2 linked regions of the Bombyx mori genome follow. The protein of the gene in region 2 purifies or fractionates together with the protein of the main gene of each other region. This does not show direct contact. Links are inferred from orthologs where the notes say so. Each region holds a gene or a part of one and is shown on either strand. Other genes may lie near its edges.

Region 1 (5,334 bases), on a different chromosome or scaffold from region 2:
CAGACCTGTAGTGAACACGTATCTGGCCAAGGCCTGCAAGAGAGCCGCCGGCCACAGCGGGGGGTGCTCTGCCCCGTCAGCCGCGAGCCGGAACGTCAGCTCGATGCCGCAGCCAGACGGCAGGGGCGCGCCCGCGGACAGCGCCGCGCGATCCGGCGGAGGGTGGACCCTCCCATCCCCGTGAAGGTCTGACAGACCGAAACTGAAATTGAACTAATGTTATAACATTCAAGTCCCATGAGTTGTAGTCAACAATAATACAACACCTCAAACCTCAAGGTGAGCAACAACTGGCACTTTTGCAGTGTGGGCTTCAGATGGGTAAGCACCTGGTGCTTTGTGAGCTTGTCTGCTTATTAAAGAGAATCAGATGAGGAATGGAAGCAAGCTCTTGTGGCGGGTAGTCATCATATAACGCAAGATATTTGACAGATGCCTGAATCTCGCTTACGACATTTTCAAGATAAGCTCGCATATATACAAGTTCCGAACAACAACATTAGGACCATCGGTCTATCGCGCCAATATCCCCAGCTCAGTGGAAGATCTTCCCTTTGTCGTTTAAGCTTCCTACACTCTCAATCTCATATCTTGAGGTTTGCTGCAGCATTCATATTGAGGCTACCAGCACCCTTTACCATTTAACATCAAATGAGCCCTAATCAGTTGTTCAAACCTGATAAAGCAATTCGGATACACAATAACTTTACCAAAATTTCATTCAGACATAGCTATTAGAATTGCAGGTGAAAACCTAGACACCTTGGAAACTTGGTATAGTTGTGATCAGCTCTTGAAGGAAGGTCAAGTTGTTATATCACTTTGAGTACTTACTGTATATCGATGTAATTCATTCTAGTTACAGCAGACTTAAACTGGTTAGACTTCATTCATTAACTTATCATTTGAAGCTCCTACCTGATGTAGTGCCAATGTGGTGGTATATTTTCCTCCGGTTTCCCTGGGTTCCGGTACATGCTGATGTAGTCTAAAGGATCTTGTCCTCCCAACCTGAGACAGATGTTTCATTATTAAGCTATTGCATAGCGTTTATCGAAGGCTTTGAACGCGGCGACCGAATCAAGAAAATCCGTAACGAAAATAAAACCTAACACCCCCACTCCGCCTACCATGTAGCTTCACGTTGCGCTGGTGTAGGGGTTTGGAATAAGCGCGTGGCGTGACGTCGCACTGCATGCAAATCACGAAAGTCTGCCCATCTCTCTCTAGCGCGGTCTAGCTTATGAGTGTAAAGGGGACAGTTAATGTTTTGCTTTTGTTAATGTTTATAAATATAGCGTGGTCTTATTTTATTATTGTTTTAATATTAAATTATTATTGTCTAATTGTAATTGCATAAGTTGATAAGAAATGGTATGCAATAGCTTTACTGCGGCAGTCCCCGTGGGCTACACGGGTTTTTTTACTTTATATAATAACTTGTACTGGTGGTTAAGTGTATTGTAAGTTCACAAGCAGGCAGATTAGCCCTTCAAACCGGAATGTGTTCATTAAGAAATAAATAAGGTACCATTTTTTTTTGTGAGTCGCAGTTATTTCTTATACTACTTTTACTTTGAGTTAGGTATTGTGACGGTCGAAATCCCAAATGTCGAAAATAATAAAAGAAATACGATAACACGAAATTATAGTGTAAAAAAGAGAAATCTGTAAAAAATTGCCTATTGCCATAGCAAAGCACTCATGCTCAAATTCAATGAATGGGGCAGTTATTAAAATATTCAATAAAGTCTTCTACATTCATCATAAGCTAAGTAGGATTGGCGTTGTGATCTCTGTGGCCTTGAGCGATCAGTTCACACCAGGCAGCACCACCATTGTCGTGTTCTGCTCTAATCAAAAAGGGATCTATCCATTTATTTTCCCTATCAATTCGGTACATAGATAAACTCACAGGATCAACTTGAGAGAATTCGTTAACACCAGCCCTAGGGAGATTTCTTTGCAATACTTTGAATCTACCACCAAATCTGCATTGCGATCCACTAACAAGCTTCGGTGAGAAACTTAGTGGAGAGCCAGCATCTATGCCTAACTACACTACTATTGCGGTTCCTTACCAATATTTGAGCCTGGTCGTGACCTGCAGAGGGTTAGGCTGGTCTGGGTACAGCTGGGAACAAGCATCACATAATGCTTTCAAGCCAGCCGGAGCTACTGGTACTAGTTGTTCTGAAACAATTTAATTGTTCACTGATTTTTGGTATATTTAATGAAGAGGCACTTGAAATTACTACACTATGGTAACCACCATCAGGCTGTATGCTTATGTGCCTAGAAGGGCAATAAAAAATAATATTCGAAAATAGTCTAAAAACTGAGGAATAAAATACAGGAATCATAACAAAAATTTAGAAAGTGTGAATCAATACTAGATGAGCATTTAAGCTCATTCATCTAATAGAATGTTTGAATCCACCCACTTTAATACTATGTTTTAAATATTTTGGAATTTTGGGAATGCGGCAATAAAAGGTATTTTGAATACACCTAATACCTATGTTTATGCCCTGTGAATACTAAAAAAAATACTATACAACAACTAGCTACTGTCAGTTAAGAGTTTTGATATTATGTTCTTATGTGGTATTTATAAGAAAATTTCGGGGTAGACGTATGTGCGCTGCACATCCATGAGCACATCCCATAGCTATAGTTAAACCATATATTAATGTTCTGCTATTGTTCTGTTTGCGTTTGATGTCTGAGAAGCGCATTCGTTCATTTTTATAGAGTTGTTACAATAATTCCACAGGGGAGAAACTAGACTCTTGAAATTGTTATTTGGGATCATAAACTATGTAAATAAACAAATACCAGATTGTTTGGCATCTTGAGGTTTGCAAGCGTCATTTTCCGGTCCATGAACTCGCTGCGCAGACGCAACGAATGACAGGGCACTGTTGCAAGGCACCCCCGACGAATGAGGAGCCCTTGGGCCACTCGGACAGGACATAGCTATGTTATTCACAATTTACTTTGTTTCTGCATAATTCATTGAATCAATAATTAAATCAATTAAGAATCACTGACTCAGCTGTTGATTCCTGAACTAACAGTATTCCTATGCAGTATTCAGTCAGACTTTTTTTGATGTACGTAGCATGTACCAGATTCGAATTGAGAAAGAGAATAGAAATTAGGTTTGTAATAAATAGAAGAGTGACATGAAATGAGCAAACGGATTTTTTATGTTTTATTATGTACAAATTTTGTAGACTATGGAACATGATGGCGGATTCCTGAACGGTTTTTTAAGCAAAAATTAGCATGGAAATTGAACAAATCACAAAAGAAAATACATTTTCGGTTACATAATGAATTGCTCAACACAAATGAGTTATTAAACCAGGTTATTAATTTTAATGACGATCTACAGCTATGAAAAGACGCAGGAATTCGTCAGCTGTGAGTAGTGTTTGATCTATCGACCTATATTAGGCATATTTTTTCTAATGGTGAATTGACGATGCCGATTTCCGATTAAAACTACAATGATACATACAATGACTAATTATTAGGTACGTAAAAATTACCCCACCACCATTCCAAACTGATATTGACAAACCGCAAACAGAATTTCTGAACGATAATCTCTAACCATAAATTTCGGCTGTAAAAAATAAATCACGATTTTCACACTATTTATATTTATTTATGTCTCTAAACGACTCATCCGTGATCTATAAATAAACTATTAAACGCAAAACGCCATTCGATAAGAATTATTTGAGCTGAACAACCAAGTCAATTCATAAAATGCGTTACATATATTTGACTACTATTTTCAGTGTTGTTTTTGCCTTTGAAAAAGATATAACTTTTACTGTTCAAGCAGGAATGACCGACTGTTTCTACCAGAGAGCACAGCCGAACGAGTTAATAGACATAGAATATCAGGTACACTTAATCAATTCGGAAACAAAACTAGAGTTCATACTACGAAAAAGAGTAAATTTTTTCTCAATTCTTTGCATTCAAATGCTTTAAATTCCAGTTTATGAACTTAGTTGAAACGTTTTAATTTAAGTCATAAGGTTTTAACTTAATAAATGAACGTTCGGTTACAGTGGTCCAAACTAGCCTCTAAATATGTGAAATCCGGAGTAAACTTCTGATATAGGTGTGTACTAGCAACTGGCTAATCGCTCGCATCATTTAACTGAGGAAGCCAATAAAAAATGTGATTTGTGTTAATGATTGGACCTGTTTTTTTCATTACCTTATGTTGATGACCTTTTGCTCACTTTAAGTGGTTACAGTAGTCCCTACGTGACTCGTAACATTGAAACCTCAACAGCACAAATACATCAATTACATCCTAAAAATGGAACCTGTGATTACTCTTCAGAAGGATAAGGAATAATATCAATAAGTACCTCTACATTCCTGTGCTTCTGTGCAACATATCCTACCATCCTAGAAAATTATTTTAACTTGTTTCCTAATCTTTATATGTATGCAAAATGTATGTTAAAGGTAATAGATGCAACACATGGTGAATTGGACATATCATTTCAACTCACTGACCCTGTTGGACGGGTAATAGTCTCCGACTACAAGAAGCCAGAGAACTCTCACAGGCATCAAGCCACCTTAAATGGAGACTACAGATTTTGTTTTGACAACACATTCAGCACGTTTAGTCAGAAAACTGTAAGTAATTTATTGAGATTGGACCTTGTCCTTTGCCATTTAAAGTGAAAGATTGCCTATTCTGGAAACACAAATGGTGGCTAAACATTGGAACTTAGGGAAGTGTCCCAAGCTTATGGAGGTGGCTTATGAATATAACAAACACTACCAATATATCTACATAAAGCAAATCTATACTTAAAATATTCAAATCATAAACGCTTTAGTGTTAATCTTGAAAATAGAAACAAATACGGTTTATTACTTTTCAACACCATAACCACTGCTATTTAATGAGTTCTTACCACAAAAATTACATTTCATGACAGTTTTATGTGATATTTTACAACGTTTATGTTTTAAACGTGTTGGATTATTGAAAAAAAAACGCGCAAAACTCATTCTATTACTTCTATTGTATACTAACAATACTAAAATAATTACACAATATATTTTATTTATTTATTGCCTAGATGTGTGGACGAGCTCCCTGCCCACCTGGTGTTAAGTGGTTACTGGAGCCCATAGACATCTACAACCTAAATACGCCACCCACCTTGAGATATAAGTTTTTAGGTTTCAAGTATAGTTACAACGGCTGCCCCACCCTTCAAACCGAAATGCATTACTGCTTCATGGCAGAAACAGGCAGGGTGGTGGTACCTACCCAAATGAACT
Region 2 (3,650 bases):
AAACATATAGGTTAATAATTGTAATAATTTAATCTTGGGGTAAAATAGATATTCCTTCTATTAAGTCAAAACTAGAGCTGTTGCCAGGTCTTGGTTCAGTTAAAGCGAAGCTGGTATTTGTAATTTTTTTTTCGTTATCATAATCTTGACCATCATCATCATCACTGTTTTCATCACCCGAGTCGCTATCATCGTGATGAGTCGACATAGGGCTCATCGGCGTAGTTTACAACTCGGTCGATTCGGTCTTCTTTTTTGTCTATAATTAATTATTTTTTGAAGATATTCGATTCGTAGTAATCGAATGTTACTTTTTTCATTTACCAGCTTCCGATTATTTTCTGTTCTTTTTTTCCATCTGAAGCCTAGCTCTTTCATAATTCGTCGTAAGCTTCATTCCGAGCCATTAAAATTTATATCTTCTTTAAATTTTTCCAAGCCTTTCTACGGTACGGAGTTTCGCTGCTTGTTATGTAGTTATTATGATTACATCTTTTTATTACAGACTGAACGAAACTATCCATTCCGGTAACTTTCTTCTTCCCTGATCTTTTCTTACCCGGAGTCCGAAACACGGCGAGCAAGCCAGAGCCTTTAGCTTCGTTAATAATGCACCTAACACTCACTGATGTTTTTGTTGCTTCCGAAGTCTGTTTTAATTTTTCCATATCATTCTTCCCCTGTTTTATAATGAAGCAATATACGTCGTACACAAATTTTCTACCCTTTCTTTTAAGTACTACACCAGTTTGTCACGGCATAGTGTATGTTTTATAAAAAATCAACAAACACTCAACAAATAGCAATGGCAACAAAGTCCACAAGCAATTATAACAAATAACTTAACGATTAATAACGATAGACTTTCCACTGTACGCAAGCGTACTTTTGGGAGCAAGCGGAATGAAGGCGCGGTGCGGGACGAAAGGTTCGACTGATCTACCAATAACGCGCTCGATACGATTTCCCCTGCCGTCACCCGCCCGCCTCACCCTCACCACCAAAGTGACCTAAAATTCGGTTCTGCGCAGTCAAGGTCATTTGCTCAAGAAGTTTGCCGATTACTATATGTAGTGTGTGTAACGTTTTTTTACTGATGTAATGTATCTTTTAGGCATTATTTTAAAAAAATATTAGCATTGTGCACTTCTTCTCTATATTCTCTAGAAGTGTGGAAAATTTCATACTCCTCCGTCCGTGCAATTTTCGTAAAAAGGGATACAAAGTTTTTGCTTCACGTATTAATATATAGATTAGTTGAATCAGATAGAATGTAGACATTATTGGAAAAAAATGTTTACTAACCTTACGCGTGTTGCTGGTAATAACTGTAAGTTAAAAAATACTTATTATCGGTATGGGAAGAAAAAAAATCCAACAAAACGTCTTTCCTAATCGAATTTATTTTGAATTACAATACGCCTTATTAACCTCGAAAACATCAAAATTGTTAATGTTAATTTTATTAAACAGTCTTACAATATGCATAAATATATTTACATGAGGCATAAAAATGAAAGTACATAATTACTTTATAATTGCATTGATTCTTTGTGCATCAATAGTTTTAAAATTAAAATAAGAATATACATGAAAATACAAAATAAAGTAACATTAAATACAAATAAAAACATAATTAAATGTCAGTGTTTCTTGCTTTGCTGTACAATAACAAGTTTGTTCTTCTCTTTCGTGACTTTTGCTACTGGTAAATTTGTTGCGGGCATCAACTGACGCAGGTTCTGACTAGGTATGATGGGAGGCTGAAAACAAATGTATTTATGTATTATTATTTTTTTCACAATTATTTCATGTTTTTTTTAAATTTTAAGTTTGTAGCGTGGAACATTGAAATATCGAGTCGCACTCGGGTATCATCGGGCGCGATCGGAATTCCCGAACGCGCAGCTGTCCCGTGACGTCATCACAACAAGATTCGTGCGCCGATTTAACTTAAATATAAAATCGAGATTTTAGTTAATTTAGTATCGTCTAGCGTCGTTTACTCATTTTTGTTTATATTTTAATATTGTATGTACATACATCTGAAAATTAGAAGTATTATTGAAATAGTGTGTTTAACTTTGATATATTATTCCGAGTGAAAATTTCCCGCGAATACGGAGAAAAATGACAAACCACAGTGGTGACCCCGACGTGATATGAACACGCAACCTTCTGATTTAAATTTAAGTTAATTTAGTTAAAAGTTTAATTTTACGTTAGTTAGGTTTAAGTTTATAGTTAGGTTTTGACTGACAGGGTGGTACCAAGGCAAATAGACGTGGGTTTGATTCCCACATTGGGCAAAGATTTCTGGAAGGAATAGGTTTGTTTGCTTTCAGTCTGATTGGTTGATATCTTTATTTGTACATATATAAGAGTACATAGGTTGTCAGTTCCCGTAGTACCGATAATCCTAGTTGGGGCCAGTGTTTTATTGAAATTACTCGTCCGCTCGATATAATTAACAATGCATTGAACAACAAACATTTCTAATTTCTACACCTTGTATGGGATACGCTGGCAAAAAAAAAAGACAGATGACATTATAAAACCGAGCAGCACTGTTCGCTCCCAAAGTAAACTGCAACAATTTTTTTTTTTTAATTGCTTGGCTGGGTGGACGAGCTCGCAGTCCACCTAGTGTTAAGTGGTTACTGGAGCCCATAGACATCTACAACGTAAATGCGCTACTCACCTTGAGATATAAGTTCTAAGGTCTCAGTATTGTTACAACGGCTGTCCCACCCTTCAAACCGAAACGCATTACTGTTTCACGGCAGAAATAGGCAGGGCGGTGCTACCTACCCGTGCGGACTCACAAGAGGTCCTACCACCACTAAGAGTTATGAGTTTCGGTTGGAAGATTTTAAGATTACTTTAATTGGGACTTTGACCTGATTGACGCGTTCATAGTCGACGTCATTAGCATCTCCTCCGCTTCATCGCTCCAGTGGCATTTTAGTTTTAGCTAATAAAATAAACTGAAGAATGGTTCATGAGTGAAAAAGGTTTGGAAACCCAGAATTTGGTGCTGTTCTATACATACCGGATTGCATCTTGCAAGCTGTTTCATTCGGTCGACCAGGCGCATGGCATCATCCGATGTTTCCGAATCTGTTGTCATGCCGAGAGACAGGGCCCTCTCTGGGTTTCCTCCGTCCAAACATCGATGAAACGATTGGAAATGTCTAGAGGACAATTTAACATAAGCATTCATAACCGACGCATAAGTCACAAAAATACTTATATAGTAAATATTCAGGCAAGTGTTGAAAAAATAATTGTTTAAAACTATAAATAAAAACGCTTTTGTAGCTAGCTTATCTAAAAAGAAGAAAATAAATCTCTATAAGTGTTATAAATAAAAATGGTGATTAGAAAAATGCATTCAATATTCCTTTACATATATACGTATATCACACTAATAAAAGCATGTTCAAAATCAATATCTACATATTTCTTACCATAAACATTCATTTTAGGATTAGAATTTTAATTTTAATGTACGAATATTTTTAGTTTTGCATATTCAGATTAGTTATAATTCTTAGGGTATCTCTTTAAGAAAATCTGAATAACGTCCTGCTCTTCTGATATAATTAACGACTTTACATGATTAATCTGAAGATCTGGTTATATTTACT

Evidence for each region. Proteins that work in one complex are often made in the same cells at the same time.
Region 1: the proteins of kinesin-like protein costa (region 2) and suppressor of fused homolog purify together in Drosophila melanogaster (affinity purification with western blotting; 3 studies listed by BioGRID, with this or other methods). This does not show direct contact. The link is inferred for Bombyx mori from reciprocal best matches to the Drosophila melanogaster genes cos and Su(fu).

What each region holds. Positions count from the first base shown.
Region 1 is NC_085130.1:19,124,069-19,129,402, forward strand, and holds the start of suppressor of fused homolog, read right to left. Parts: upstream 3,123-5,334; 5' UTR 2,978-3,122; coding exon 2,839-2,977; intron 2,194-2,838; coding exon 2,082-2,193; intron 1,012-2,081; coding exon 919-1,011; intron 203-918; coding exon 6-202; intron 1-5. Other genes in the region: transmembrane emp24 domain-containing protein 5, read left to right, coding at 3,781-3,921, 4,501-4,677.
Region 2 is NC_085118.1:7,785,001-7,788,650, forward strand, and holds the end of kinesin-like protein costa, read right to left. Parts: intron 3,195-3,650; coding exon 3,053-3,194; intron 1,764-3,052; coding exon 1,644-1,763; 3' UTR 1,386-1,643; downstream 1-1,385. UniProt on the Drosophila melanogaster protein: Regulates cubitus interruptus (ci) processing by recruiting multiple kinases to promote its efficient phosphorylation.